Linked DNA regions of Struthio camelus. The protein of the gene in region 2 purifies or fractionates together with the protein of the main gene of each other region. This does not show direct contact. Links are inferred from orthologs where the notes say so. Each region holds a gene or a part of one and is shown on either strand. Other genes may lie near its edges.

What was found.
Region 1: the proteins of ARPC5L (region 2) and ARPC3 purify together in Homo sapiens (affinity purification with mass spectrometry; 7 studies listed by BioGRID and IntAct, counting the BioPlex papers as one, with this or other methods). This does not show direct contact. The link is inferred for Struthio camelus from reciprocal best matches to the Homo sapiens genes ARPC5L and ARPC3.

The regions. Positions count from the first base shown.
Region 1 is NC_090958.1:17,137,964-17,153,116, reverse strand, and holds ARPC3 (actin-related protein 2/3 complex subunit 3), read right to left. Parts: upstream 6,128-15,153; 5' UTR 5,879-6,127; coding exon 5,582-5,878; intron 4,297-5,581; coding exon 4,197-4,296; intron 2,954-4,196; coding exon 2,877-2,953; intron 2,593-2,876; coding exon 2,524-2,592; intron 2,238-2,523; coding exon 2,111-2,237; intron 1,517-2,110; coding exon 1,422-1,516; intron 632-1,421; coding exon 569-631; 3' UTR 112-568; downstream 1-111. Other genes in the region: GPN3 (GPN-loop GTPase 3), read right to left, coding at 8,319-8,381, 8,887-9,015, 9,423-9,519, 9,851-9,966, 10,726-10,850, 11,315-11,482, 12,023-12,131, 12,212-12,259; DENR (density-regulated protein), read left to right, coding at 13,873-13,978, 14,964-14,983. UniProt on the Homo sapiens protein: Component of the Arp2/3 complex, a multiprotein complex that mediates actin polymerization upon stimulation by nucleation-promoting factor (NPF).
Region 2 is NC_090961.1:1,255,631-1,270,630, forward strand, and holds ARPC5L (actin-related protein 2/3 complex subunit 5-like protein), read left to right. Parts: upstream 1-3,805; 5' UTR 3,806-3,857; coding exon 3,858-3,983; coding exon of another isoform or gene 3,984-4,003; intron 4,004-5,625; coding exon 5,626-5,787; intron 5,788-6,606; coding exon 6,607-6,783; intron 6,784-9,397; coding exon 9,398-9,460; 3' UTR 9,461-9,959; downstream 9,960-15,000. Other genes in the region: PPP6C (serine/threonine-protein phosphatase 6 catalytic subunit), read left to right, coding at 1-11, 1,361-1,440, 1,588-1,797, 2,845-3,093; GOLGA1 (golgin subfamily A member 1), read right to left, coding at 13,338-13,418, 14,290-14,376. UniProt on the Homo sapiens protein: May function as component of the Arp2/3 complex which is involved in regulation of actin polymerization and together with an activating nucleation-promoting factor (NPF) mediates the formation of branched actin networks.

The DNA.
Region 1 (15,153 bases), on a different chromosome or scaffold from region 2:
TCAACAGGAATGATTCACTTCCTGTTGTTTACTTTCCCATTATGCAGTAATGAAGGCCTTTTCACAAAGACAAAACTTTGATTTCTTTGAAGACATAAAGCAGTTACCACAATAATTACAAGCTAGGTTTATTGAGAAAAAAAAAAGGTAAAAAACACTGCACTTAACAACATAGCACAAGAGGAATGTTTTCCAGGGACAGGTGATAGCAAAACTCTAGCCAGTAGAGCAATTATATAGCCCCCTACACATCTCCTCTCTTTAGACAGAAGGCCTGTTTTTAAATGCTAGCTGTAGCCACTGATAATAAAGCAGCCTGCATCTCAAACAGCATGTTAGAAATCATTTATTAAGCACCAGCTTAATAATACTTGTTTACAGTACTCAAATGATGTTTTCTCTCTCTCTCTCTCTCTCTCTCTCTCTCTCTCTCTCTTTTGCGCATGGATTTTTTTTTCCTCCTTCATTAAGCACTTAATTCTTCCATGGTACAAAATGTATCCGAAATAAAGGCAAAATACTTTATACACCTTGTGGAAATGCTTAACTTTGTTGCTGCTTTGCTTCTTCACTGCCCTGGACCTGACAGACTCTTGTTCATGAACTGTCTCTTCACAAAGCAGATCCACCACTAGAAAAGGAAGTACAAAATCAAAAGACATGCAACGGTAGCTTCCTTGAGATAAACAAAATGAGAGCTTCCAAGTGTTCAACTTCTGACAAATGGCAAATGTTAAGGATCCAGTTTTGCACATGCAGTTTTCCGCGCTGGTTTCTACTGCAATTTCAGGTCATAATAAGGATTTATAATACAGGGCTGCAGACATCAAAGTGGGACATTCAACTTTCTACTATTTGTTCCAATGTAAGAATGAACAGAAGGGGTGCATCAGCAAGCTATCCTTTTGAAATGAAGTTAGCCTGACTAATTTTAACGTTAAATGCAGTCACATTTACACATGAAACATATGCACAGACAGCAGGTAATTTATGCATTGATTGTCTCTTTTTTTAATCTGGATATGAAGCAGACAGGTATACTTCAAAGAAGTCATCAAATCAGAACCCACTGGAAAGATGAGCAGTATCTTTCATGCCTGAGAATTTCTGTCTAAAAACTTAAAGAATCCTCAGCCAATAACTGGCAGGCAATATTTTAAACAATTTAACCAGACACACTTACTACCTCCCTGCTTTTTGAAATAACCTAAAATGGCATTTGCTGTTTTTGCACGTTACAAATTAAATTTACTACTAAATTGCAGTCTGCTATTTCACTAGCCTTGTAAAACCAGAGAAGCTTGCTGCAAAGTTACTCGCATGTCACCCCATCACCCCACCGTCCTACTTCTCCCCACACGTTTCTGGAAGGACAAACCAAGTCTCTCATTAATTCTGTGACTATCACGCTGAACTCTCACCTTACTAGGCTTGTCACTTTGAGGATCAAATACTTTTTCGCAGAGCCGAAGGCCTGTTTCTTGTCTCAGCTGCTGCAAGTAGGCCCTCATCACCTCTGAAACACAGCACAAGCAAAAAATAGGGTGTAAACCGAGGCAGCAGCAAGTCAAATTGAATTTAACGGGGAAGCATTAGATACTACTGCTTAAAGCAGAAAGTGCAACTTTGCCCATCTGCAGACACTCACAGGCTGCCTTGAGTCTGTTTATTCAATTTACAGCCATACTTGGGATTGTTATGATATCTGTATCAGTAAAGATGGTCATCTTTACTAAGGATGAATTTCCTTTTTCAGATACCTTTGCTTATTGTTGTGGGCTTCCTATTGTTCTGCCAGCACAGCAGTTGGCTTGGGCTCAGTTACAGGATTTAGCTAGCAATTACGTTGATGTAAGAGGCAGACTCACTCCCCATTACTTGGTTCTGTTGGATCTATAGATCCAGGGGAGTCACTGGGCCCCTGAGGTCAGAAAATCTGGGTTATGGTGCACTCAAAGACAGAACTACGGATCTAGAAGATGCAGTTGTATGGAAGATGCAGTTTGTCTGCAGTATGTCTAGAAGATGCAGTTTCTAGTCATAGCCACAAAGATGCAGCTGGTAAACACCAGGCCAAAGCAAGCCTTCAGAGGTCTTTTTTTATTCTTACCTTCCTCCTGCTTGTTGGCAGGTTTGGCATAGATGGCATTAAGTGGAAAGCCAGGCTCCCCAGGGATTGGGAAGTTAGTGATTCCTAACGTGTACATTTCTTTCTCTCCTTGGCCTTTGGAGTTACACTGGAAGAACCAGGCAAATGATTAAAAGATATAAACAAAAGCTTTTGGAGCATTAGACCCAAATATTTGAATCAATCTGTAACATATAAGGATTAATCAAGGATCGCAATGTCCCATCTTTTTTGGCAGTCCTCAGCCTTGGAATATCGGTGGATCTGACAACTGGGACTGAGGTGAACAGTATTATTTATGCCACTAGGGGGAGAACATCAGCAAACGTTCTCCTAAGTGCAATCTCCAGAACAGATTCAGTTTCCCTCCTTCACTCAAAGAGCTGTTCTCTTACCTTCTGCAGCTTTTTCAAGCACTCAGAAATGTACAGAGTTATGTAGATCAATGTTCTGTCAGCCTCATTCTGCAAAGCAAAAGTAAGCACGGTCCTCAAGCACTGTTAGAGTAAGGCAGACTTTATGGAGCTGATAAAAGTTTACAATAGGAATGAGTTCAAGCCATTTTTGGCCTACAGTTTCCTCACAAGAGGGGAATTAGCAATTCAAGACATTTACCCAACTTGAAAAATTAAGTGAGAGGAAGAGGTGTTTTTGTTAACTGGTAGAACTATTGTATTGCGAATAAATTTATATGCACAGGACCAAATCTCCAAAGAGTTTCTGAATGTACAGTATCTCCAAAAATTACCTTAATTTCATAATTTTTGAAGAAAACATTGGCTTTGAAGTAGTAGATGGCTTCATCTATAATATCTGTGTCCTTAGCTAACAGAAACAAGAAACGGAGAGTTAAGCAGTGGACCAGCATACTACATTCAGTCATAGCTTTCATTCACTAAAGTACATAAACAAGGATTCTTGCAAAGACAATATCTTGCTATTAACAAAAAGCAGAAAACACCAGTATGCTCTAACCATTGCAGTGTGGAAGACTGGCGAATTCGGACCTTAATATTTACGCTTCCTACTTTTAGCAGGAGTTTTAATTCCCTTCTCCTCCTTCCCCCCATGGCTTCTCACTTTACAAAGGGCAACAATTCAGCAATTCCACACTGTTTCCTACTACCAGTCGAGTAATTTAACAGCATAAAAGTCTTCTGAGGGCAGACAAATATTTTTGGAGAAAGTACACCCCCACAACCAAACTTCTTCATTATCCTCTTTGAAAAAAGCAGGGGACAATATATAGTCACACAAGCTCATATGCACTTTTCACCTTCTTTTGCTAAAACATAAGACTGCCTACATCCAGAAATGTTTCCCTTTTCAAACTGAAACACCACCCTACTGTGAGATGTGCCTGGGAAGTGCTACTTGAAGTGCTGAAGCGGAATCCATTTCAGACTACCTGTAAAACTCTTCAGTGGACTCCGGATGCTCGGAACTTAAGTTTCAACTTATGAAGTTGCGTACCCTAAAGCGCTCTCTATCTTACTCCTCATCCTTCAGCGCAGCAGTGACTCTCAAGCCTCAGTCCCCAAAGTGCTAGTTCTCTTTAGCTCAACCTCTACTTCCTCTTATGTCAGAAGGTTCACATCAGTTACAAGTCCTCCTCAAAGCCTACTGAAAACCACAGTAAAACTTGATTGTAGAGCACCCGAGAAGGAAGCATGAAAATAGTAACTGTACTTTTTTTTTTTTTTTTATTTCTAAAGTAAGAGAATTTGGGAGTAGGGGGCACAGTTTTCCCAGATAACTGCTGTATGGTAATTATTTTTCCTGGTTTGCAGCACTTAACCATTTAAGAGCGTTTTTCCTCCTCTACCAACTGAAAAGCACTCCATTTCTAAACCATGGCTTCTCTCTTCACTCTGAGAATCAAGATCTAAAACGCCTGGTTAAGTCTTGGCCATAATTTTCTCAATCCCATCTGCCCGGGGACATTGATAAAAAGCATGTACTTGAGACACCCACTATACCAGAGCAATGCTAGAGCTGGCTATGAACAAACTGTGACATGATTACAAGCAATATGAAAACAAATGTTCAGAGATTACTGTAAACTTACTTTCCCGAGGTGCTGGGCCTTTGAACTGGCTTCTGATGGGTAACAGTGCCATGTTCCCAATTAACTTGGTATCAGAGTCCATTAAAGTTGAATGGTAAGCCTATGGACAGAGCGGAAGGCTAGTTATGAATGTTACTGAAAATAGGCATTTCAATGTCCTCGTGGCAACATAAGCGGTTCTGAAGTGTCTCCTGGGTGTCCATCAAATAGGATTCAGAGTTTAGTTAGTGATGCTTCTAGCAATCTTACCTTGCACAAACGATTGCTGTTTTCACATTAGGCCTAGCTCTCAACAACATTGTGAAGGCCATAAAAGAATCATCACAGACACCGTTTATGGTAGCAGTGGTGGAAGATATGATAAAAAACTGGTATGGTAGATCTATATGCATTTGCTTCACCTTCAGGCTCTCTAAGCCCCCTTGGCACAGCTCTGAGGTGGTAACAGCCCTGTTCTCCTGCCTTAGTTATGGGGCTTACCATTATAGAAGTGTATGAGGGAAAATTAATTTTTTTTCTAATTACTTGGTCCTTTAAAAAAAGGTTATATTTTATTCCATGTCTAGCTAATAATAGTAGATAGGAATAAACAAATCCAGACTTATTGTATATCCACAAAGTACCAAAACAGACCGGCTCATGCACTTTAAAACTGGTATTTGTCAGTGAAAGAACAGAACAAAACAAAGAAGACCCTTGTGTGAATGACAAGATTATTCCTGGGAAACAGATTTTTAAAAAATAACAAGTTTAATTGAAGGCGCCTTCCAGACATTTACACAGTGCAGTTCCAGGGCACTAGAAAGCCTTCATCTCATCGCAGCAGTCATTTTGCAGGGGGTCTGGGAAGCAGGGAAGTGCAATTGAGGGGCAGCAACAGGGTAGGCAGCACCTAACAGGAAAGCAGTTTATTTCAACATGAGGAAGATGGTATGAACTAAACCATAGCAAAGCACAGCTTTAATGCCATCTTCCTCAGTGGAGCTAGCTGGGAGTGCCCAGAGGTGTAGCTGGGAGGGACTGCCACCCTCCTTACTGCAGAAACACAGCTAGCTGCACCCAGAGACGCAGGCAGGATCCTTCACAGGAGGAAGAGGAAGAGGAGCATACTAGCCTCGCAGCAGCCTCCCATAAACTGCAACTGCCCTTTCCCAGCGAGGCTCCCGGCAGCTATAGCCCATCTCTCCTGAACGCAGCTGCCCATAGTCACACCCCAACAGCAAAGCCTGTTTCCCCCTACCCCAGCCCTGTGACCCCCAGCAGTGGGCAGCATCCGCCCTCTCAGGCCTGCCCGCTCTCCCCCAAGCCCTCCTGCCCTCTCTCCCAGCAGCTGGGGCAGGCCAAGCACACAGCACTCCGGTGTGAGTGCAGCGGATCCCCCTCACCGGCATCTCGAAGGGCAGGATGCAATTTGGCAGGGCCGGGCAGGAGGGGAGCACTGAGAAGCTTGCAGGAAACCTTCCTCTTCTGCCTGCGCTGCAGGAAATGAGGCAGCGGAGGCGGTGCAAGGAAGGGAAGCCAGAGCGGAGGCCTGCAACTCGCACCGCCCAGAGAGTTTCTGCACCGCTCGCTGCAGAAACACAGACAGGCAGGAGAATATGCTTTGAAATCACACCCTGTTGGGGGATTTGTTTGCTCTTGCCCTCTGGAGTCATGTTTCTCCCCTCCCTCTCCCTTTGCATTGGCTGGCGCTGCAAGTAAAGCCCTCTCAATCCCTCTGTGCTGTCTTCTTTCAAGCAGCTGTGAGATCACGCTTCCTTGCTGACAGAGGCAAGCTTCTTTCCCCAGCGAGGATCAGAGCGTGACAAGAGCACAGAGAGCGCGGTGCACCAGATTGGGGCCCTTTGCTTGCAGCCAGTTCTCCGTTGAGTGTTTGATGTGCAGCACTCCTGTGCATCTCTTGCTGTGACCTGACTTGCAAAGTGTAGCCTGCCAGACTGGTCTGTGAGCACTTGCTGTTGCACTGGGTATAAGGAAGCAAACAATTGGGGCTACTGTGTTGGGTGGGCAGTCTGGAAGGATATACTGTTTTCAGAGCCTCACTGAACTCTCCACTCCTCTGTTAAAATCCTAACCATAACCTCCCCTGTGACCCAGGGACCCTCATTTGTCCCCAGGCAAATGACTGAGCATAACATCATTGCATGAGTCAGGGAGAAAAAACGGGGAGATGCGGAAACTGAGTCAAAGTAATCCAACTGTAGGAGTTAGGTTTCTCCTTCAACGCTCCACAAGCATGACTCATCCCAAGGATCACAGAATCACAAAATCGTTTAGGTTGGAAGGGACCTCTGGAGATCATCTAGTCCAACCCCCCTGCTCAAGCAGGGACCTCTAGAGCATATTGCCCAGGATCACGTCCAGACGGGTTTTGAATATCTCCAGGGAAGGAGACTCCACTACCTCTCTGGGCAACCTGTTCCAATGCTCTGTCACCCTCCCAGTGAAGAAGTTTTTTCTCAGGTTCAGATGGAACTTCCTGTGGTTCAGTTTCTGCCCGTTGCCTCTTGTCCTGTTGCTGGGCACCACGGAGAAGAGACTGGCCTCGTCCTCTTGACACTCCCCCTTCAGATACTTATACACGTTGATCAGATCGCCTCTCAGTCTTCTCTTCTCCAGGCTGAACAGGCCCAGCTCTCGCAGTCTTTCTTCATAGGTGAGCTGCTCCAGTCCCCTAATCATCTTGGTAGCCCTCCCCGGGCTTGCCATCCCCGAGGATGTGCAAGCTTGGAAGTTAGCTAAGCCGCCAAAGCTTCCCCAGTATTTGCATGGTTTAGTTCAGCCAGTACAACTCAAAACTGTCCATGTCTGCATTCAGGTTTGCACTGGCAAACTTGCATCAGTCACTGGCTATCTGTTGCTGAATGCAAGGCATAGATCAGGCATAAAGCACCCAGTGATGTGATTAGCTACAGGCAGGCATAAAAAGACTCCCCACATAATGAAGTTAACCTCCACAATAATTATTTATATACATACATATACTCCGGGGTTTTGCGTCATGCTTTTAAGCCTTGAAGAGCTAAATTTTTCAGCTCTTTCTGGTGACCGTGATAACTCTCACAAAACTGAGGTCTCAGCTCTCATAATTGTCTGGCTCTGGGAGGCAAGGTTTTAAGAATGCTGAATATTATGAGATTTGTTCTAGAATTCATAAAACTGGCAAGGCTGAGCACACAAATACCCATGGGGGGGGGTGCACATGCAGGACTGAGGTACCTTTGCATTTGATCAGATGGCATGGGACGACAGCTCTTAGGATTATTTTTACTTGTACTTAGTTACTTCAGTAAATATGTTCTTCCAAGATAAAGTGCTTAAATGTTGCTTCTCTGTGAAACCAACGCACATTCTACTATATAGGTCATAGTAGGTGTACAAGTTCTCTATTCAGAGCTAAAAAAGCAGCTACTTACCTTATTAGTTACTGAATTCTTCATTCAGTAACACACTTTCTGCAGCAACTGTACAAGAACAGCACTGATTTCTATTTAAGCTGATTTTATTTATTTTAAATGTTTCACTGTTTAAGATGTTATCAATGTAAAAACCGCTTAAAGCCACATGCGAGTTGTACAAAAACAGCCTAAAAAAGGAGGCTTAAAATATGGGCTCCACCAAAGTGAACGTAAAATACTCATCTTCTTCAAGAAGGTCAAGAGTCCAGCTACTGATCAGTTTTCCTTTTGTAGCTGCCAGTTATCTCTTTCCCCACCGCAGATTCAGTTAATGAAGTACATTACTCACCCTTTAAAACAAGTTTTTCGCTCATCTAATAATAGAACAAACTACCCCGTACTAGAGATAAATATTTATTGTAAATTATTTGTATTTGACTGTGCCTCTTCTGCAAATGACTGACTTTTCCCAAACGTTCCTATACTTAAATGAGACAACTATATGTGGGGAACTTGCATACAGCAGCAGTAATACATACGTACATATTTTATAGCACACAGACATAAGAATGAAATTATTTATTAAAATAATTATGAGGTCATACAGGATCACTTTTCATTAGAAATTTTAGTTATCTTACAGATAAAAAACAAACTACACAAACATGATACTTTAAATATTTAACAACCACGATATTTCCCCTTGTTTTTGAATGTATGTGCTTTACTCATCCACATGATCTTGAAAATATTCATCAACAAGAGCAGATTTATCTTCTTCATATTCCTGCCAGAGAGAAAACAAAAAAAGTAAAACTTAACTGTTTCCCCCCAAGGAGCTGTAATAATTTATCTGTCCTCTGGCATTTTAGTTATAAAAAAAAAAAAAAGGAAAATGTCTAATATGATTCCATAAAACGAGTGGCAAAACTTTCTGGAAAGCAATCTGTTTCTAGAGCTATCCAAACTGTATGGGTCAAAATCTAGACCCAGGGATTTTGCATATTCCACAAGTACAAAACTGAACTGAAAATAAATAAATAAATAAAGTATTGAATTTGTTCCTTAGGATTTATGATCTGAATAATCAAACTAGATAGGGCCTGGAACTCGTTTTAAGACACGAGTCATGGTGTCATTGTATTGTACATGACATAACTTATTCCTAATCTATAGTTTACATACAACACACAGGCTCTATACATTTTTTAAACAAGTCAAAATACATTTATATTATGACTTGTATTATGGAAGCTTTTAAGTTTTTCATCGTATCATCAGAAGGACCTTACCTTTGGTTCTTTAAATTCAAGATCTTCTCCATACTGAATGGTAAAGTCTATGTGCTGCAGAACTATGTTCATACTTTCCTCGTCAGAGCGATCAAACGGTAAAAATCGAACCATACCATAGTCATCAATCTAGAGAAAACGTTTAAAAGACATTAGTAAGAGCGTGCAGCAAGTTAGTTCTTTTACACTCATAGCACTCTAAGCTACTTCTTTAAACCAAACTACATCTTCCTTGCCTGGACTCCCAACATACTATTTAAAACCACACTGCAAACCAGAGGCAATTCCCCAATGAAAACATCTGCCCGTCAGTCCTAAGTCCTATACATTAGATAATCCTGTTCTCCAAAGTTGCTAATCTTGTAAAGCCTGGTGCTGTTATCAAGTCTGTTATGTAAATATACAGTTTTAGGGAATTTTTTTTATAGTATACAGAATATCTATAACAGCAAAGAAGGCAGTAGCCATATAGTGTTGTTTATAAATACAGGACTGAATTTAAGAATATCAGTTAGAACGAAAAGCAATACACCTACCAAACCACATATAGATTTAGTCAGTTTCTTAAACATTTTGCTTTTTAATATATTTGTAGAGTCTTCAATCATGGAATACATATCTGGATCTAAGTACCTGGGAGAAAAAAAAAAAGTCTTCATTGACATCAAAAGAATCCTTTGCTAAAGAACAAGTAAGTCATTGTGCTTTTAGATAATGATTTAACAGAAAATAATTATTTAGAGAAAAAGATAAATATGTATATGCATAGAGCTAGCCTTTTGACTCTGTGACTAAGTTGTAAGCATCCTATCCTAGACATGTAAAGACTGTGTTCAATATAAAACAACTGCATCTTTTCCCATTCCAAAAGAGTAGATTTTAATTGTGGGAAACAGTAGACTGAATTTTGAGCGACGTTTATCACCAGATGTTAGGCTATACAACAAATATTTGGGGAACTTACTTCTCTATTTCCTTCTTAGCTTTCTTGCTCAGCAAATCCATTTTGGTCATGATGTTGATCTGTGGAATCTCTAAAGATATCATTGCACTCAGTGCTGCCAGAATTCCAGAGATAAACTTAAAGGAATATGAAAAATGACATACTTAAGTACAGACAAACACAACACAAACATGCAGGACACGACCACAAACCAAAACTAGCTACTGAATATATGAAACATGGACACAAGGCCAAGTGAGGAGTCATTATCTCTGTTGGAAAAGGGAGAGGCTAAAGTTCCCATTTGCCATCTATTTCCAGAGTTTCAAATCTGGATCTGCCACTGGGAAGGACATCTAACAAAACTCAAAGCCCTTCTCAGGATTCTCATTGCTAGACTGGGAAAGGGGCATGCTCTCTTTCCAGATCTGAGAAAGTTTTATAGAATCACAGAACAATTTGGTTTGGAAGGCACGTTTAGACATCATCTGATCCATATCAGGGCCAACTGCAAGGTCAGATCGGGTTGCTTAGGATCTCATGCAGGTGAGTTTTGAATTAACTCCAGGAACATACATTACACAATCTCTGTGGGCCCCTGTTCCAGTCTGACCACTCTCACAGTGCAGATTTTTTTCCTCCTATCCAACTGGAATTTCCCTTCCTGCCACTTGTGTCTATTGCCTCTCATCCTTTTGCTGCGCATCTTCAAGAAGGATATGGCTCGATCTTCTTCTCCATAACGGCTCACTAGGCAGGTGACAACAGCCATCAGATCCCACCCGCCCCCAATTAGCATTCTCTTCTTCAGACTAAACAGAACTAGCTCCTTAAAATTACTCAGATTTCTTGTTCTCTACTAATATGAATTTTTACAATATATTTCAAACGGATACCTTAAAAGATTCCACCATAAATTGAGAATCAACAAGAAAAACTCCACAGACACGGAATTCCCACTGCTGAAGCTGCTCCACCAGCTGTTTCATCACTGGTAAATGTGTGTAGAGTTCAATCTGACCTAGGACAGAATATTACTATGCAGAAATGTAAAGCTAACACATAAAAAAAGCATATGTTAGTTCACAGTTATCAATTATATAAGTGTGGGCATTATTCTTCAAATGAATAAAACCTGTTACAAAAAGCATGATCTTTCTTTTCAGACAACTCTGACTGAATTTGCATGAACTTATACTGGAGGGATAGAAGAAGAAAGATTTTCTTTTCCTCCCTTGACCTCCAGTTAGCGTTAACAGTGGCTGTCGTATTCTCACAGCACATGATGCTGTCAAAAATCTGTGCAGCCATCCAAATTAACCAGGACCAAGTTCCCTCCTGAAACATCTGAAAGTGACTCTGACAGCTGTTTACAACATAAAAAACGTACAAATGATTGTGACCAGCAAAAATATATTGTAAATTTTATACTGCATATGAAATATGATATTTAAGTATGATACTAAGATACATATATTTCTTTACCTGGGCAATCAAACAATATATAGTCATCCTCCACATGACCAAGGCTTTCTTCTAGCCAGTTAAAGTTATTGGCAAAGTATTCCATACAAAACACCAAGCCGCCATTGGGACCAAACCTTAAGGAATCATCTTCCATAACATCGTCCACTTCTATTAACTCGCGGATGTCTGGAACAAGACACACAATACGTTTCTAGCACGTTTGTTTACACTAGTATGCAGAGGCCGGTTACCGTAACACGCTCAAGCCTTACAAGAACTCTTGTTTGAAACCTAGGTCTTAGAAAGCATAAGGAAGAACTGACAGACAGCTCAGATGCTGTTTACGCTCCAGAAACCTCACTCTGCTTTCCTGCGTCGAGTGTCTTCATGCTGTACTGAGGTAGGGAAGCGTGTGTTAAACTGCAGTGACAGCACAGCCTGTTATTCACTTACTACATTGCCTGGCCGTAAGCATCAACATATATATTTGACGCGTGTGCATATGTATTCATATATATACACACACACGAATTATTATAAATACATACAAAATGTTATAGTTTACGTTTAGTGTAAGGCGCACCCCGCCTCTACAGTCAGATCAGAGCTACCCCTGGGCTCGGCCCACCCCCCAGGACTCCCCCTCCGGCAGAGGGCCCCGGCCGTACCCTGCCCGCCCCCCGGGGCTCCCCCCGAGGCGCAGGGCCCCGGCCCCCCGCGGCTCACCTGCCATGACGGGGTAGCTGAAGAACTCCGCGGCCGGGTCCAGGTTGACCACCTGCACGACGCGGCCCAGCGCCTCGCAGTGCTGCACCATGGTGGAGCAGTAGGTGCTCTGCAAGGCACACGCACAGGGTCAGGGGCCGCCAGCACCGCACCGCACCGCACCGCACCGCCGCCCCAGCCCTGCCTCACCTTCCCGCTGCCCGCCGGGCCCATCACCAGCTGCGCGTAGCGAGGCATGGCGGCGGGCGGCCTCCCGGCTCCGCGCCACGGCGAAGCGGCAGCGGCTGACCGCTCCGCCGCCCCGTAGCGCTCCCCGTCACGTGCTCCTGCTTAGCGTACACCCACCCTCCATCCCCTCAGCTACGGAACGCCAGAAGGCTCAAAACACGCCCCGCCTCCCACCGCATAGCGCCAGGCTCCGCTCTCTCCGGTCGCGCTCCCGCGGTGCGCGGCTCTCGCGAGAGGCGGCGGCGCTGGGCAGGGCGCACGTGCCGCGCGCTGTGTGGCTGCCGCCGCCGCCGCCTTCGTCCCGCCGCCGCGGCCTGAGGGGCCGCCCGGGTAACGCCGCGCCGCTCGCCAGCCCCGCGCTCCCCGGCCCCTTCCTGCGGGCGGCCGCCCTGCCCCGGCACCGTCCCTCCCCTCCGACACCCGCCGCGGCGCCTCAGCGCCCTCGCTGCGCTCCGACAGCCCTCCCCCGGCGCCTCAGCACCCTCCTTGCGCCGCACTCTGAGCACCCCTCACCTCCTGTCCCCCGGCACCCTCCCTCCCTCCCGGCCCGCCGCAGCCTCTCCAGCATCTCCCTTTCCTTCAGCCCCGAGCCCCCCTGCCCTCCTCTCGCGGTGAGCCTGCCCCCACCTCTGGTATCCAGCATCCTCCGTCTCCCCGGCTCTGGCCCCTTCTCCCGCCCTGTTCCCTCGCTGCGACCCTCACCCTGTGCGGTGCCTCAGTACCCTCTCGCCTTCCCCCAGCTCCCCTCACTGTTACCCCTCATCCCCACAGCACCCTTCCTCCCCCATTTATCATCTCCCTTGGTCCCCCACCATGCTTTCTATTGCTAGCAGTGATCCTCTGCAGTCTTTCCTTGTGCTCCCCTTCCTGTGGACCCCATAACCTCTGGCAACCTGGTGTTTTCCACCAGCTCTGTGCGATGCCCAGGCACAGCTCTTACAGCATCCTGGCTCCGAGTCTTCCATACCTCCAGCCTGCTCTCATGTTCCTGGGGGCACCCTGTGCCTTGCAGCCCCCTTCATTGTTGTCTGTTGACGCTTATTTTCCGTGCTGCTTACCTGGAAACTGCATGCATGTAAAGAGTTATTGCGTGTGTTAGTGGGTTGTGCTTGGTTTGCTTTGTTAAAAATTTTTATTTATTTTTTGCCAGCATCCAAGCACCAGATTTAGATTCTTCAGATGCTGATTTAAATGACAGCTGTTCCTTGCTGATGAACTTGTACCTTCACCCCTCCAGAGCACCCACTGTTCACCTGCCATTGACTTAATGTGATACTTAACGTTTTGCTTAACCCATATTGGTGGCTCCCATGTTTTATGCACAAACATCTTTCTTCTTTTTCCATTGCATTTCCTGGTGCTTCGTTTTTTTCCTTTATGTGCTGGGTTTCCTTACTGCTTCGTATCTTTTGCAACCATCTTCTGTATGTTTTTTCATTATTTCTGGTCTCCTGTTTCTCCTTCCCTCATTATCCTGCTGTTCTTTTGTTTGCACCTTTTTTCTGTCTTTTTAGTTCTTCCAATCTCTGGGATTTTTTGTTATGTGTTGGGAAAGGAGTGAATAATTTTAAATCCAAACTTAAGCCACGATTATTTCCTTCTGTGACCTGCAGGCTTGTGAGATGGCTACAGATGTAGCTGAGCCTGTGGTCCCTGACTGCAAAGGAGATGTGAGGAGCGGTGCCAGGTCAGATGCTGACTATCCTCTTCGGGTTCTCTACTGTGGAGGCAAGTGTTGAAGGGGCAGTTGTGTGTGATTCTTATGATGTGCTGTTCGTAAGGGCAGCCTAGCAGAAAGAATGAGAGAATCGCAGATCTGCTGGTTGGTCAGCTTTTATTCAGAAGACAGTGATCACCTTGCCCTTTCTGATCTTCTTTCTAAAGTAGCTTGTGTTGTGCATCCTATCTAAAGCATTTATGGTGGAATAGATGGTTTTCCCCTTTGTCTGAAAGATGGAGATACGGTTGTCTTTCTGTGCATAAGCAGTTACATTGACAGGAGCGATGCTCAGATTATGAGCTGCTACGCAGTGATCTGTTCCTGCAGAAAGCTAGTAAAAAAAGCTAGCACAGAAAAAACCTCTGACATTAGTATGATAATAAGAAATGAAATTAGAATTAATGAAATTGTTGCAGTGTGTTTAAAATTCTACTTTGCTCATTGCTGCATTTGTATCTATGTGGCTGAATTTTAAGAAAGTAAATAATCTTGAAAGTTATGTTTTGGAAAACTATGTTATACTTTAGACTTGAATACAATTGTAGGGGTTTAGAAAAGAATCCCTGTTTTGTATGAAAGTCTTCACAAGTGGTTATGAGTGTATTCTAAAGCTGATCTCATCTTCTGGACGTTGTCTGTTCTTGTGAAAAGGAAAACAAACCAAATCATGTGGTATTTTATTAGGTATATGTTTTGCTTCCAGTAGAACTGGTATTTCTTTCTGCATCTTGTGCCAAAGCATCTTCTTTGCTTCCTTAATTGATTTAATAGCTCTCACTGTGAGAGTTTTATCCTAATGCACAGTGTCTGAGCAAACGACTTACTGAGAGAAAATTGAAACTTGGAGCGATATCAATAATCTTTTGAGTTAGCATGCTTATAACCAGAAATTGACATAAGTCACCCAAAACTTTAAAATATAATTTTGAATTTAACACTATAAGTGGAGAATGTCTTTTTGTAATCTTTTTTTTTTCCCCCATCTTTCTCCAGTCTGCTCATTGCCAACAGAGGTGAGTTAATTTTTTTGTTGTCTGAGTTTTTTTTCTTCTTTCTGTCCTATGATTCATGATTGTGATGATTATTTCTGATCTTTGCTGGCTTTTCTTTCATTGTGGCAGTTCTCTGCTTCAGCCACTGTTTTCCTTAGGGTGTCCAGAAACTTCTTATGTGATAGTAGTGT
Region 2 (15,000 bases):
TGGATTTTATGGTAAGTCTTTATCCAAATGATTTCTGAATGATGGCTAATGTAATAAACAACTACCTTATCTTTCCCCTTGGACATCTGATTTTTGAATGCAGCACTACTTGTGGCTCTCCTAGAACCAGGTGGGAAACGGGCATAGTAAAACTGGAATGTTATAATTTGTTAACGTGATCCTTGCATTCATGAAGCGGAGCATGTTTTAGTCCAGTGGTTCGCTGTTGGACTTCTTGTGCCTAAAGTCAAAACCTAATCTGACAAAGTTCTAGCTTGCTTTTTTTCCCTCCAGCACCTGTATGTTCTTGTTTGGTTTTAGTACCCTATTTGATTTTTAGAGACAGAGAAAGATAATATATTTGTACAGAAAGTGCTTTCATATCTTTTAATGAAAAGTTCCAGGAGAAATCGTAATGTTGCTGTAATTCCTTTTGGGCTTCGCTATAGCTGAGAAACAACACAATGTGTAGAGTTTGCTATGGAAGCTATTTATTGTCAGCAACAGGCATGGGGGAAAATGCCACTGACTAGAAAGAAGCAGTAGGGCGACTGTTCCAAAAACCAACACCATTAAATTGCTTGGAAAGTTTTAGTTGTGTGAGGAAATCCTGCAAAATAAACCTGATAACACCTGAGGAAATTCGGCAGAATAACTAACACCTGCCACAGGGAACATGTAGACTGTAATATGCATTTTCTGGGATAATGTGGCAACAAGAACAAATAGAAGTGTTGACAAATGGCTTAAGGCTCCAAAGAAATACTTTTCTGCCAGGGCTATACAGTCCAGAATTGCTTACATCCAGTTTATAGCTACACGAATGTGGCATTAATTTACCATTGCCAAATTACTTTTTTTTTTTTGATTTCTTTCTGGTTTTATGAGAAATGGGAATAATTTGGTCTTGTTTTGCTTTCTAACTAAGCAAAGCTACTGTAAGTCTTATTTGTAGTCAGGAAAACTAAGTAGCCCAGATAGTTTCACAATTTTTGCCTTAAATCTCCAGTGTAAAATTCTGTAATACAAACATTCAGCTGGTCTGGAATGTCCCAGCCAGCTACTTGCAGGGAGCAGAGAAAACATCATAAGTCGTGTTGTGTGAGATCCTGTTTTCGCTCCAGCACCCCCTGTATTGCTCAAGGGAGTGAAGAATGTTAGCTATCTGAGTGTGCTTCCTACTAGTGGACCTAGGTGACAATAAGACAGACAGCTTCCCGCTGAGCATTTACTGGTGCTCCTGATAATGCTTTTTATTACACACTTGACTTTTCAAGTTCTGCTGTAAGTATTTGCCTCTGTTCTTATTATTTGAATTTCTTCTGATCCATTAAGAAGAAAAAAATTCTCTATTTAACAGATGAGTGCCAAACCAAATATGGAAATGCTAATGCTTGGAGATACTGTACCAAAGTCTTTGACATGCTCACAATAGCAGCTGTAAGTGTAAACGCTATATTTAAAAAGAATCTAAGTAGATTGTCTAAATGTGACCTCTTGAATTAGCGGCCTTTAAGGGTCACGCTGGTAGAGTTCTGAGTTGGATTGAAGTGCTGTGCGTTTGACACGCGTGCCTTTTTTCTCCAGTTAATAGATGAGCAGATTCTCTGTGTGCATGGTGGCCTGTCTCCAGACATCAAGACACTCGATCAAATTCGAACCATTGAACGTAATCAAGAAATTCCGCATAAAGGAGCCTTTTGTGACCTTGTCTGGTCTGATCCGGAAGATGTAGATACTTGGGCGATTAGTCCACGGGGAGCAGGCTGGCTGTTTGGTGCAAAGGTGACAAATGAGGTAATGATGCTATTGCACGCAGCATAAAGTAATTGTAGTTATGAGATAAATTAAGACGTTTAACTACAAGTTTGGTGTTTATCCTAGTGCTTAACAGATTGAGGACTGTGTGAGATGACTAACTTTCCTGCTAAGATAGCTCTGAGTAAGCTGTGTGCTGATGAAGAAGGTGCTTTTGCTTTATTGTTGCTAATTCAAACCAACTCGAAAAAATTGAGCCGTTTGAACTTTAAAAAAACAAAACAAAACAAAACCCTGCCAGATGAGATGATACTGATCTTGCGTTTTAAAAGTAGAATGCAGTGAGTGGGGGGGGTTGGACTTGCATGATCTTTAAAGGTCCCTTCCAAACTCAACCCTTCTCTGAGACTAACTAATTTTATTAGGCTTTGTGCAGAAATACCTCCCTAGAGATTTAGGAGAAAAAACACCACTGGAACATTTTTTTCCTAAAAATTCCTGACTTAATTTTTGTTACTTTTAGCGAAACAGTAAGCAGACTTCCCTAGGCTAAAATTTGTTGACCTTCTGAGGCTTCTGAACGAGCTGCGTTAGGAAAGCCTGATTCAGGGTATTCGTTGTCCTTTGTGGTCTTACTGCAGCATGTTCAGGAAAGTGTGAACGTTGTGGACACAACGCAGGCTTAGCCATCTCATCGGCGACTGGGTGTTTTTCAGTATGTTTTGAAAAGACGGGTCCCTTCATGGCACCATTAGCTTTAATAACACATTTAGATGACAGTGATGTGGCTAGGTCAACGTGACTGGCCGCGCTTCTGTGAAAACAAGGGGCTACTTCAGTTTGGTTCCTCTCAGAGATGTTGAAGCGGGAGCCTTGAAGTATCTTCTGTGCAGCTGAAACCTGGCAGGATTCTGGCAGAAAGCTTTTGGGGCAGGTTTGGGAGCAAACCTGTTGACCAGCTGCGATACGGGGTCTCGGGAGGGTGTTCTAAATGGGGAAGGCTGTTGTGTGGGTGATGATGTGCAGCTCTTCACAGAGAATATTTACACGCCTTTTTTTTTTTTTTCCCCCTCCTTTAAATTACAGTTTGTTCATATCAACAACTTAAAACTCATCTGCAGAGCACATCAGCTAGTGCACGAAGGCTATAAATTCATGTTTGATGAGAAATTGGTAACGGTATGGTCTGCACCAAATTACTGCTACCGTTGTGGAAATATTGCGTCAATCATGGTCTTTAAAGATGTAAATACAAGAGAACCAAAGCTATTCCGTGCAGTTCCAGATTCAGAACGTGTAATTCCTCCTAGAACAACTACACCCTATTTCCTTTGAGACCTTCCCCAGCCTGCCATTTCCCTGCTCCCTTGTAACTATCCCTTTACAATATACTTTTTATTGAGCACTTTGCTGCTGAAATGCTGCCTCTTGCCTTTTTTTATGTTTAAATTATCTAAATTTATTGTGTATTATGGTGTCTGTAGCAAGTTCCTTTTTCCTACCCTAGATTCATTTCAGAATATTTGTAATATGTCCTTGACATTTATACTACTGCATGTAGTTCTTACGTACTTCTGGGTTTAGATGAAACGTTTTCCTTTTAAAATCATAATACATTGGAACCAGGTCAGTCCTGTTGCATTACTCAGCTTTTTGTTTCGTAAGTTTTAAGAAATTTCAGCAGCAAAGTTACTATCCAGTGTGCACGATGGGGCTGCAAACGCGTTGTGTTGTGTGCACGTCCGAGACGTAGAACTGAATCGTCCTTGCTATATCTTGTTTTAAGTGGATACAAAATAAAGTGGTCGAAAGGGCTGCCCCCCACCCCCCCTTTTTTTTTTTTTTAAGACTTCGGTTAAAAATACACCAAGATCTGCTACAGCGATGGAATTTGTACATTAAAATAATTGTTCTGATTTTTTTCAGATACCTTGTATTTTTAATAAAGTCGTATCTTAAATGAAATCCACCTCTAGGTTAAATAGTGCCGATACAAGCCCCGCGTTGTGGCCGAGAGGGGGCGGCGGGCGGGCCCGGGCCGCGGTTCCGGTTCCGGCGGGAGCGGGTTGGGGTTCCGGTTCCGGTTCCGGCGGGGCGGCATGGCGCGCAGCACGCTCTCGTCCCGCTTCCGCCGCCTCGACATCGACGCCTACGACGAGAACCGCTTCGTGGAGGAGCCCGAGGAGGCGGCGGCGGCGGCGGCCGAGCCCGACGCGGGCCCCGAGGTGGAGGCGCTGCTGCGGCAATATCCTTGCGGGGCCCCGAGCGGGCGGCGGCCCTGGCCGGCGGGGCGGGGCAGAGCAGAGCGGGCTGCCCCGGTGCAGGCGGGTGCCCCGGGCCGGGCGGCTGCCCCCGCTGCAGGCGGGCTGCCCCGGTGCAGGCGGGTGCCCCCGGTGCAGGCGGGCTGCCCCCGCTGCAGGCAAGTGCCCCAGTCCAGGCAGGTGCCCCCAGTGCAAGTGGGTGCCCCCGGTCCAGGTGGGGCACCCCCGGTGCAGGCAGGCACCCTGGTGCAGGTGGGGGGGTGTCCCCCGGTGCAGGTAGGTGCCCCAGTCCAGGCAGGTGCCCCCGGTGCAAGTGGGTGCCCCCGGTCCAGGTGGGGCACCCCCGGTGCAGGCAGGTACCCCGGTGCAGGTGGGGGGGTGTCCCCCGCTGCAGGCAAGTGCCCCAGTCCAGGCAGGTGCCCCCAGTGCAAGTGGGTGCCCCCGGTCCAGGTGGGGCACCCCCGGTGCAGGCAGGCACCCTGGTGCAGGTGGGGGGGTGCCCCCCGGTGCAGGTAGGTGCCCCAGTCCAGGCAGGTGCCCCCAGTGCAAGTGGGTGCCCCCGGTCCAGGTAGGTGGCCTGGTGCAGGCGGGGGGCGCCCCCGGTGCAGGTAGGTGCCCCAGTCCAGGCAGGCACCCCCAGTGCAAGTGGGTGCCCCCGGTCCAGGTGGGGCACCCCCGGTGCTTGCAGGCACCCTGGTGCAGGTGGGGGGGTGCCCCCCGGTGCAGGTAGGTGCCCCAGTCCAGGCAGGTGCCCCCAGTGCAAGTGGGTGCCCCCGGTCCAGGTAGGTGGCCTGGTGCAGGCGGGGGGTGCCCCCGGTGCAGGTAGGTGCCCCAGTCCAGGCAGGCACCCCCAGTGCAAGTGGGTGCCCCCGGTCCAGGTGGGGCACCCCCGGTGCTTGCAGGCACCCTGGTGCAGGTGGGGGGGTGCCCCCCGGTGCAGGGAGGTGCCCCAGTCCAGGCAGGTGCCCCCAGTGCAAGTGCGTGCCCCCAGTCCAGGTGGGGCACCCCCGGTGCAGGCAGGTACCCCCGGTCCAGGTGGGGGGGTGCCCCCGGTCCAGGCAGGCACCTCCAGTGCAAGTGGGTGCCCCCGGTCCAGGTGGGGCACCCCCGGTGCTTGCAGGCACCCTGGTGCAGGTGGGGGGGGTGCCCCCCGGTGCAGGTAGGTGCCCCAGTCCAGGCAGGTGCCCCCAGTGCAAGTGGGCGCCCCCGGTCCAGGTGGGGCACCCCCGGTCCAGGTGGGGCACCCCCGGTGCAGGCAGGGCCCCCTGGTGCAGGTGGGTGCCCCAGTCCAGGCAGGCGCCCCCAGTGTAAGCGGGTGCTCCCGGTGCAGGTGGGGCACCCGTGGTGCAGGCAGGCGCCCCTGGTGCAGGCGGGGTTCCCGGCGAGGGCGAGCCGGAGCTCCCGAGGAGCTGCGCCTTGCCCGCGCCGCCCCGCTGCACCCCGGTAACAAAGTATTTGCGGCAGGGCTTATCGCGCGACTTAGCTGTAGCTGCGGACTGCTTCCCTGTGCTCTTGGTCTCCTTCTGTGGCACATCGGGCTGTTACCTGGTGTCCAGAAATCGTTCTTATAAAACACATCATTTATCATCTGTTATGGTATTCAAAGTTTGTATACAAGATTGTCGGTTGGGTTGGAGTGAGTTATGATGGTGCCAATAACCGACCGGCTCGAGTCCTTGACTTGCTGTGCTGCACAGGCGATACGCTCCGAGCTTTCCACACAGCCATAAGGAATTCTCCTGTTAACACCAAGAACCAGGCGATGAAGGTAAGCGGCACCTCTGCGCTTCCTGAAGCGGCTCTGTCACTGCCTCGCAGCAGGCACGCACCCACCCCTAGATTTCAGCAGCGGATCGTGGGGGCACTTCCAAATGGTTCAGCATTTCTCCAGAAATCTGATTAATACCTTAGTGCTGTTAATTAGTGATAGACTACAGCAATACGCTGTATTTTCTACACAGGCAATCGCTTTGTGTTCAGCTGCACCATCCATAGGCAGGCTCTTGAGCAATAATGCTGCTGCTTTTCGATGCAAATGGCCTGTTAGCTAGCCTGCGACAGCAGACTCGTAAATGAACGCAGGTCTGTGCTGCTCTTCTGCCCAGCTCTAACTGCCACAGGAGGGACACTGGAGCAGCTGATGCTTGTAAAGAAGAGGATGATGTTCTTGGGATAAACCAAAGTTTCCTTACTCAGAAAAGCAATTGATGGAGTTAGTGAGCACATACCTGAAGCAGTGTTTGCATGTGGATTTTGCAATATGCTTTTAAAACAAGGAATTTGGCCTTGCACTGTTGAATTTGTTACAGCTCAGCAGATGATTCTGCAATCCCTTTCAGTTAGCCCTTCCGAGAAAGAAGCATGAAAAAAATCCACTTTTAAAAAGATGTACCCACCCTTCTCGCTACTAAAACTTAAAGTGCAAAATGTTAACCTGCTTGGTTACAACAAATAAATAGACCAACTTTTTAATGTAGTGGTCTTCTGAGCATACTTTTGTCAAACACAGGTCTTTGATACAGTTCCAGCTTTGCTGGCTCTAATGGTTTTTTGTTTTTTTGTTTTTTTGTTTTTGTGGTCTTTGCAGGAACAGGCCCAGGGAACCATGCTTAAAGTCCTCACATCTTTTAAAAGCAGTGAAATAGAACAAGCAGTGAACTCCTTAGACAGAAATGGCATTGACTTGTTAATGAAGTACATTTATAAAGGATTTGAAAAGCCAACAGAAAATAGCAGTGCAATATTACTTCAATGGCATGAAAAGGTAAGTTTCTTCTGGTGCTGTCCGGGCTCAGGCACCTTTCAAAAGGGTCGGTGTTAGTGCTTTCACTGGAGCCCCTCTTGTGTATGATGGCAGGGGATTCATCCCAGAGAAGCACAGTGCTTGGTAATTCCTTTCATTTTTGGTCTCTTTGCACTTGAATTCATTAAGCCTTTGCCTGAATTTCAAAGCTCGCCCTCAGCCAGGAGGAGAGGTGAGACTTGTGGGAGGGTCCGGTGACCGCCGGAGGAAGCTCTGCCACCTTGTTCTGAGTGTAATGAGGGCAACGGTTTCCCACCAAGGAAAAAGAACTGGGAGTGGAGATGTGATTGTGTGAACCCTGGAGCTGGCAGTGTTTCTTTGTAGTTGAGTATTTGGTTAATGGCATGCTCGGGAAGCGTAGGTCTGGCAAGAGTTTTCCACAGTTAAGTGCCTATAGCAGCATACATGTCCCAACTTAGTAAGAGGACTGAGCAAACCTGTTTAGTTTGCACAATAAAGGCTTTTGAGATCTCTGAAGAGATTCCACTTGGATCCAGGGCAGTCCCCTCTAGTTTCTGTTGAATGACCGTTTTGAGATATGAGGGGGTGAGATGTGTTTAGCAGCTCTTGAACGTTCTCACTCTGTGTCATGGGATGAGGCGCATGAAACAACTCTTCTGTGCTGCTCTCCCCAGGTAGAAACCCGTGCGAAATGACTGACATCTTCCCCAGCTGCCTAGGTTTTAAGTGCTGCACAGGCTTTCAGTGGTCCTCTTAGAAGAAACAATCCTTAAGAACTCTGCAGTTCAGTGTACCCTCTGCATTGTAGCAGTACGGCCAGCTATTAATGGCTATGTCATTTGCAAAAATTGCTTTTTCTGAGATATGTAAAAACCGAAATTGTGTTTGCAACAGTGGCTCCAGCTATTAGCAACTGTCACTTGCTTTGCAGATTGTTTAGCAGGGGAGGAGGAGAAAATACATTATCAGGACAGCAAGGAACATGTTTCTGCTTGACTCTTCCCCACCCCCTCAATGGAGACTGTTTTCTGGTAACTGTGGGCTGGTGCTCCACAGTATATAAAATTACTCAATATTCTGCCTTGACTAGGAAAAAGTTAGTGTTTAGAGCGTGTAGGCACATGCAGAATATCTCTTCCTCATTTTGAAAGGAACAAGGCAGGTCTGAAGTAGGCTGGGCCGTGTTCTTAAATGAAAGCTTTCCTCGTGTTCTCCTTTCTGGCGTTACTGCTAAGAAATGTGACTTGCTCAGGGAGGCGTCTGCGGTTCGGCAGTAGCCTCTGTCCATCCTGGAGACGGAGTTCTGCCTGTGGAAAAGGCCCGTTTGTCATCCCTATGTAAAGCAGGTCTCATAACTCAGGCACATCATGTGCAAGCTCTGATTCTGAGTGGATGCTTTACATCCATCTATGTTCTAATGACAGCAAGGTGTCTGATACTGTTGATTGTTTTTCTCCTTTCATAAGTTGCAATAGCCACTTGGCTGCGTTTGAATTGTGCCTGCAAAGTAAACGTGCTGTTTTAAGCAGCTTCAGTATTACTCATTTTGTCATAATTAAGTCAATCTTCTAGACTTTAGAAGGATACACATTATTTACGTTGAGGGATGCAAACCAAACCGAAATGAGCCTTTCCCCATTCGGGGATATGGGAAGGGAGACAGATTCTGTATTTTCAGTAATGCATGTGACATGAGTATCTTCCACAAGAACCAAAAGATGGTTTGTTAGATTTTGGGCAGTGTACGTTTCCTTGTGGTTTTAGTGGTATATGGGTTGTTATTTTTATTTCTGCAATTGGTTGTGTCTACCCTTCAGACCCTTGGTTCTTGTGTCACTGAGTACGTTTACAGACTGTCACGATATATGCAGCGCAGTAACGCGAGTCAAAGATCACTTTCATCTGTATTTACAGAGAGGGAGCAAGGCACATGCTTTCCAAGATCGTGGGAGGAGATAGGAACAAGCAGGATCTGAATTCAGCCCTGATCTCCCCAATCAGCCTTTTTAACTGTCACGCTAAATCGTTTAGAGAACACACAACGAAGAGGAATAACTGTGTGACCGCTACCACAGGAAGTTAAAGGTGGCAGCAATGTAAAAGGCACCTGCACAGACCTGAAGAGGCGGAACAGCTTGTAAACCACGTTTCCTGTTCTGCTGGCAGCAATTAGCACAAAGAATTGCTTTGTGGTCTTGGCTAGCATAAGTTAACTGATACATACTAATGCTTTGCGTGATGGAGCAATCGTACCATGAGAACAACTGATGTCTGGCCTTGCAGGCTACTATGAGTTTTATCATGGAAACCTGACACTGCAAGATAGGGTTTAGTGCCTAAATGATACTGTTTAAAATGTCTTTAACCTCAGCATGTGCTAGAGAAAATGAATAGATTTTTCCTAAGGAACCGTTGTCAAATCTTGAATTTGACAGCAAAAAAGGGTAGAACAAGAAGAAAAGCCCAAGATGGCTATGTGTGAAAAACAAGTTTTTGGAGAAGAGACACTTACTTCTCTGTTACTAAGCACAAAACTGTTTGTTCTTCTAAGATGCCTTTTGTGTGCACTGCAGCAACTGTGTGTAACACCTATCTCCTTTTCCCCTCCCCACAGGCATTAGCAGTAGGTGGACTAGGTTCCATAGTAAGAGTTCTTACAGCAAGAAAGACTGTTTAAAAGACTATTAACTTGCACCAAGACGACGATCAGTTCTGGACCCAGAAGAAGGAACTAGCTGAAATGACACTGGTCCATCTTTACAGAGATTGCAGTCTGCTGAAATACTATGGAAACCTCTTCTTGGAATGCTTTTAACTTCAAAGGTGGGGGAAGAGTAAACATTATTCCTGTATGCTCTATCAAATACAGGAGCCAAGATATTATCCTGATCCCTTCTTCTTTAAAAGGCAGAGAAAAGGTGAACTCCTGCCCCCCCATTACTGTAAGTGAACAGGTATTTTCAGATGCTGCTTTATCAGAGCGTGGTGATACAAGATCCTGTGTGTACTGCTTATTTAAGAGGTAGCTATGTCGTTTGCAGATGCAAGATTCTGACCGCTTAAAGGTAGGAGAAGTGTTTGTTAGAAAGAGGGGATGGTCAAAGGACTAGCTGGACTGTGGGGCTGGTTTCATTGTAAAGTGCCTGCTGCATTAATAAAGTTCTTGGATCACACGAGTTAAGTAATTTATTTTTAGCGAACCTGTACGCCTGCAATTGATTCAAAAGCAGACCAGCAATATACCAGTTCTAAGCCAAGTGCCCGCCTCTGCAGAAGTGATCTTCGATATGCTTGCTCTAGGAAGCGAGATCAAGCCCAATTGTTCACTGCACTTTAGAAGCCTTGGAATATAGTACATAATTACTAATGATTTGATTTTATACTCTTGCTCATGCTAGGAAGTCAAGAAAATACTTCAAAACTTGTTAACCTATTTATATGTTAGTTTATCCTCATCTCTAAAGGACTATTTGACAGCATAGTAAGAAGCTTCCTTTGAATGAGTACGTGCAGGTGTTTTATCCTTGATTTGCCCAGACAGAACAGCACAACTACTCACATCGTCATTGTTTCCAACTCAAGTTACAGCACCTAGGTAAGAGTCTTCAGTTTCTACAGCGTCTCTCTAGGGGCTCATTTTACACTGTGCATATGGAGTCTGACAGGGTATCTGTTGGGAAAGAGACTGAGCCTCGCTTCCTTTTGTCACAAACAAGTGTGCTCCAAGTGAAGCAGCTGTTAAGGGAGGCTGTATTCCACTTGGTCTTTGTTTTTATCAGCTGCTAAAAGTGCAGCAACAGCTGTCCCTGGTGGGAGACAGCTTCAGGAGGCAGAAGCACTCTGCCTCATTCCTGGCCTAATCCCCTATGAGAAATAGGGGCCTTAATTATATGGTTGACACACCCATTCTTACCATAGACAGGGAGATGGGTTTTGTTTCATTCTTTAACATTTCTCTGCATTTTAAATAGCTATAGCATCCCCATGGAGATAAGCAGAACTATAAAGAGAAAGAAATCAAGATTAGAGTTTTAATCAAAAATGTATTGCACCACAAATTTCATAGTGTTTCATAATAGAATCCATATTTACAGCATAGAAGGAAAGAAATCCAATGGCCATAGAAACGATTATGTATACCATTGTTTTTATACAAGGTAAAAGTGCATTAGCTTTTTAATATACGTATACACACCATTCTTGCTCTGATATATAAAGAAAAATCAACACTTAACTAATTTATGGGAAGTTGATCCTGTAAGAGCTTGGGGATCTTAAATTGAAATTGTGTTAGTAAACAAATATTCTGAGATTTATGTATTTCTTCCAAGTCCCCTGCACTGCTTTCCTTACTGTTCAGCAGTAACCTTTCAAGCCAGGATCAACTTAAACCGATTAGTCATTCAGCAGGCATCAGCAAGAGTAGATGAAATTCTGTCCCTTGTTCCCGGGTCCCCTCAGATGTAGGGCAGGGCCAAGGGGATGTTACAAAGACAGACCTTAGGGAACAAAATCTGGGCCCTTCCCAGAACCCACAGGGTTCCCCTGCCCCCACTTGGTTTCAGTATAGGAGCACTTCAAACAAATCTACTTTTTGATTGTCTGTTTTCATGTTAAAGCCGAGCTGTACTCTTCCCATAAACTTCCCTATTCTATGCAATTAAGTGCTATGACTCAGTTTACTAAAGACTGTGTTTGACAAGCTTTAGTATACTGAAAAATCGTGTTGTCTCGCTTCAATTTAAATAAATGTACCCTAGCTACAAACTAAGGAGTGTCACTTTTGTCACAGTAATCGCTACCGTGAGTATCTAGGCTACTTAATTTGGTGAGGTCAGCTAGGATATAGATTTGCAGCACATTTACTACTCTGGTAACTGACCTCATGCAGAAGGCTACTTTCATCTTTACAACAGCACAAGTGTGCGCAGGGGCAGGAAGCAGCTCACGTGCTGTGACTCTCACGCTGTAGCTTACTGCCACCACCACCACCGTCATTTATAGCAAAGCTAAGCTAAAACCCTGAACAGTGACCGTATCTCCACCAGAGTACAGGTTGAATTTTCTTGAAGATATTTAATAAAAATAGTGTTAGTAACACAAACCGCATTGTAAGAGAATTGCCAGAATTGGAGCCTGTTCACTGAATGCCATACCTATGTAATTTTTTAAAAATACATCCAATTTTTTAAGAAGTCAGATGAAAATGGGAAGCAACAATCAGTCTATTTTCTGGTTAGTCATTAAGGGCAAAATTCTGCTCTCAATCCTTGAGGCAAGTCCCAGCTTGGTCCCCTTTTCCTAAGGTAGAAGTAGGCAGGCTACTTGGATTCATAAGTAAGATTCATTGACTATTTCAATTTTGCTCTCAAAAAACAAACAAACAAACAAACAAAAAAAAAAACCTCATAAGCAGCATTCCTTTTACCATGTAGTTAGGACACAGTTAACAGCCCACTAGATGCCCGTAACAGCTCTTTTAAGCGTCAGTATCTGAAGTACATAAAATCACAACCAAAGAGGCAGATACTGGTTATGAAGATCTGGTTGAACATCTGCTGCTAGCAAACTTGCACAGGGAAAAAAAAAAAAAAAAACCCAAAACAAAGTGTTCAGTACCAATATTCTTCACCCTTTGTCACTAGAGGGTTTTTTGTTTGGTTTTGGTTTTTGTTTTTTTAAAATAAAAGGTATTTTCAGTGTGCATTTACAATACCTGGAATTCAGCTTTAAAAATTTAAAATGGTTTACTATCCCCTCTTCCCCACATTAACAACCTATGGTACAGACTAGCAGATTAGTTTTAAAGGCGACTGAGTATTAGGTACTATAATTAAGACCATTTTAAATATTATTTTTCTTTAAGAAAAGTAAAATCAGACAACTCTAAAGTTGTGCTCTCAAATTAAATAAACATCATCAACATGCAGCCTTCAGGACTGCAGGCCAGGATATATGCACCTTAAATTACACAGTGATATGAAAAAATGCAAACTATTAGTTATGTCAGTATAACAAGGCAAGGCAGTTTTTTTTTTTTTCTTTTTTGGTTAAAGCTCCGGCTCCTGTTCTTCGAAAGGCTTTTCAAACTGCCAGGAATCCAACAGTACTGCCAATATTCTTTCCATTGCTTGCTTTCCACAGTGAGACAAGGAAGCTTTACTGTAGCTAGAGTTATTCAACTCTGGCATTTCATAACAGAAGTTGGAATCACCATCATAACAGATGCAAATGTTAGAAGCTTGAACTGCCAGCACCAATGTTAGTGAGGTTAACGTTACCCTTTGGTGCCAAGAAACAAGACCGATGAGCACAAGGAGCTGACTTCCATTAAGAGACCATCGAGACGACAGTCCCTGGATCCAACCCAAGAAAGATGTTTCAGTTTGTGGTGAAAATTTCTCCTTGCACAGTATTACTTTTGTAAACAGTATCAAAGTTCTTGTACAAAATACTGCAATGACAGTGATTAAGACACACCTGAATTAGTGTGTTGAGTGTTCTTTTCACAGAAAATAAGTGGCTAGATGCTGACTGCCTGTTTTCAGGTTCCCTTAAGACCATGGTGTCCTTGGGCTTGAGATAGATGGCCGGATACTGCCTTTAGGAGATGGCTTTGACCCAAACCACGACATCTGGGACGGGAAAGCACAATACACATTAGGCTAGGTTCCCACTTTTAGGAAAAAGTGAAAATTTGAAAAATAATGTAGTACACATACATCTCCCCATCATTGGATGGGGACAAATTTTTATAAAACATACAACACTGCAAAATTCAGACTAAGAAGGTTTCACACAGTCAAATCTGGAAGAAACAGCATCCTGTTTCTGTAAGTCAAGAACACTGAAGATAACATTTAGGAATATTCCTTCAAAATAATTATAAGTTACAGTCATTTAATGACAGTACCTTTTGCCAGTCTAGCATGACAAGTTCCCTGAGCGAGATGGCAAGGAATTCTTCCTCTCTTTCACTTGTGTATACCGAACACGTTTAACTTACTGAGCGGGCAGAGAGAAACGCAGAGCGTCTAAGGAACTGAAGCAGCACTCATTGATGAACGTTCACTAATAACCACCAACCCAGCGGCGTGCAGAAGATGATCTTATTTTATACAGTGGAAAGTAGAAACAGATCAAGTGCCCAAGCCCAATGTGAAATGACAAAGCCATGAATCCAGTATCCTACTCTTCAACCTTAGACTGTCATAGCAAAGAGCTTCTGGCTTCACACCTGAGTCCACTGGGCAATACTGTGCTGCTTTTCTGAAGCACTGAAAAGTTACACTACATTTACCTTACTGCACTGAAAAGTCACACTACATTTACCTTACTGAAATAGGCGATTTCCATCATGCATACATGTGATTAGTGCACGCTTGAACATGAGATGATCTTTATTATTGTTGCTAAAGTTTGGAAAAGATACTTTACATGGTCTCCCAGCATTTAATAGTTTTCATTCCTCTTACTGGGAATCTACAAGTAGAACAGAACCCTTACCTTGTATTCCAAGGTTTCTTTAAGCATATTTTCTTCCTCTTGTGAAAAATTCAGTAACACAGACACAGCTTTAATTAGATGGAATGCCTGAAAGAAACCCCAGCAGTTGGTTAGTTATGATGCCCTCAGTCTCTAAATTCTGGATTATGGTGCAGCACAGATTTTCTGTAGGTTTGGTCATAGGCTTTTTAGTTACAACTGTGAGGAGCAGAGCAGGAGTCTTCCATAAATCTCCAATTCCAATAGAAAGGGATGCTGTGCATGCTGTGTCTTCTGTTTGTGTTTACTGGCTTTCTGTTCTTTAACAGTGGTTTGCATAGGGACGATAAATTGGGCAGCCCAGTGTATTAGAACAGAGAAGAAGCCTTGCTTCTACGGCACCCCCGGCCCCCTTTTTTTAAAAGGGTCTGAAGATTTGATCAAGCCAGCATGCAGCCATTTTAAATATACACTCAAGTGTATTAACTCTTTAGTACTAGCATTTTAAATAGGACATATCATGCAGAGACACTAGAGCAGTCAAGCACTCAGGATACTGTGGAACTGCACATCTATTTCTTGATCTTACCTACTGTCTGATTTGCAATTAAGCAAAGTATACTGCTGGCATGACTTTTTTACCTGTAACTTCCTTGACACTGAATGTGGAGAACGCAAAGGAGGTCTAAATGCACAAGGAATTAGTTCTTAGATATCAACAGCAAGTAGTTT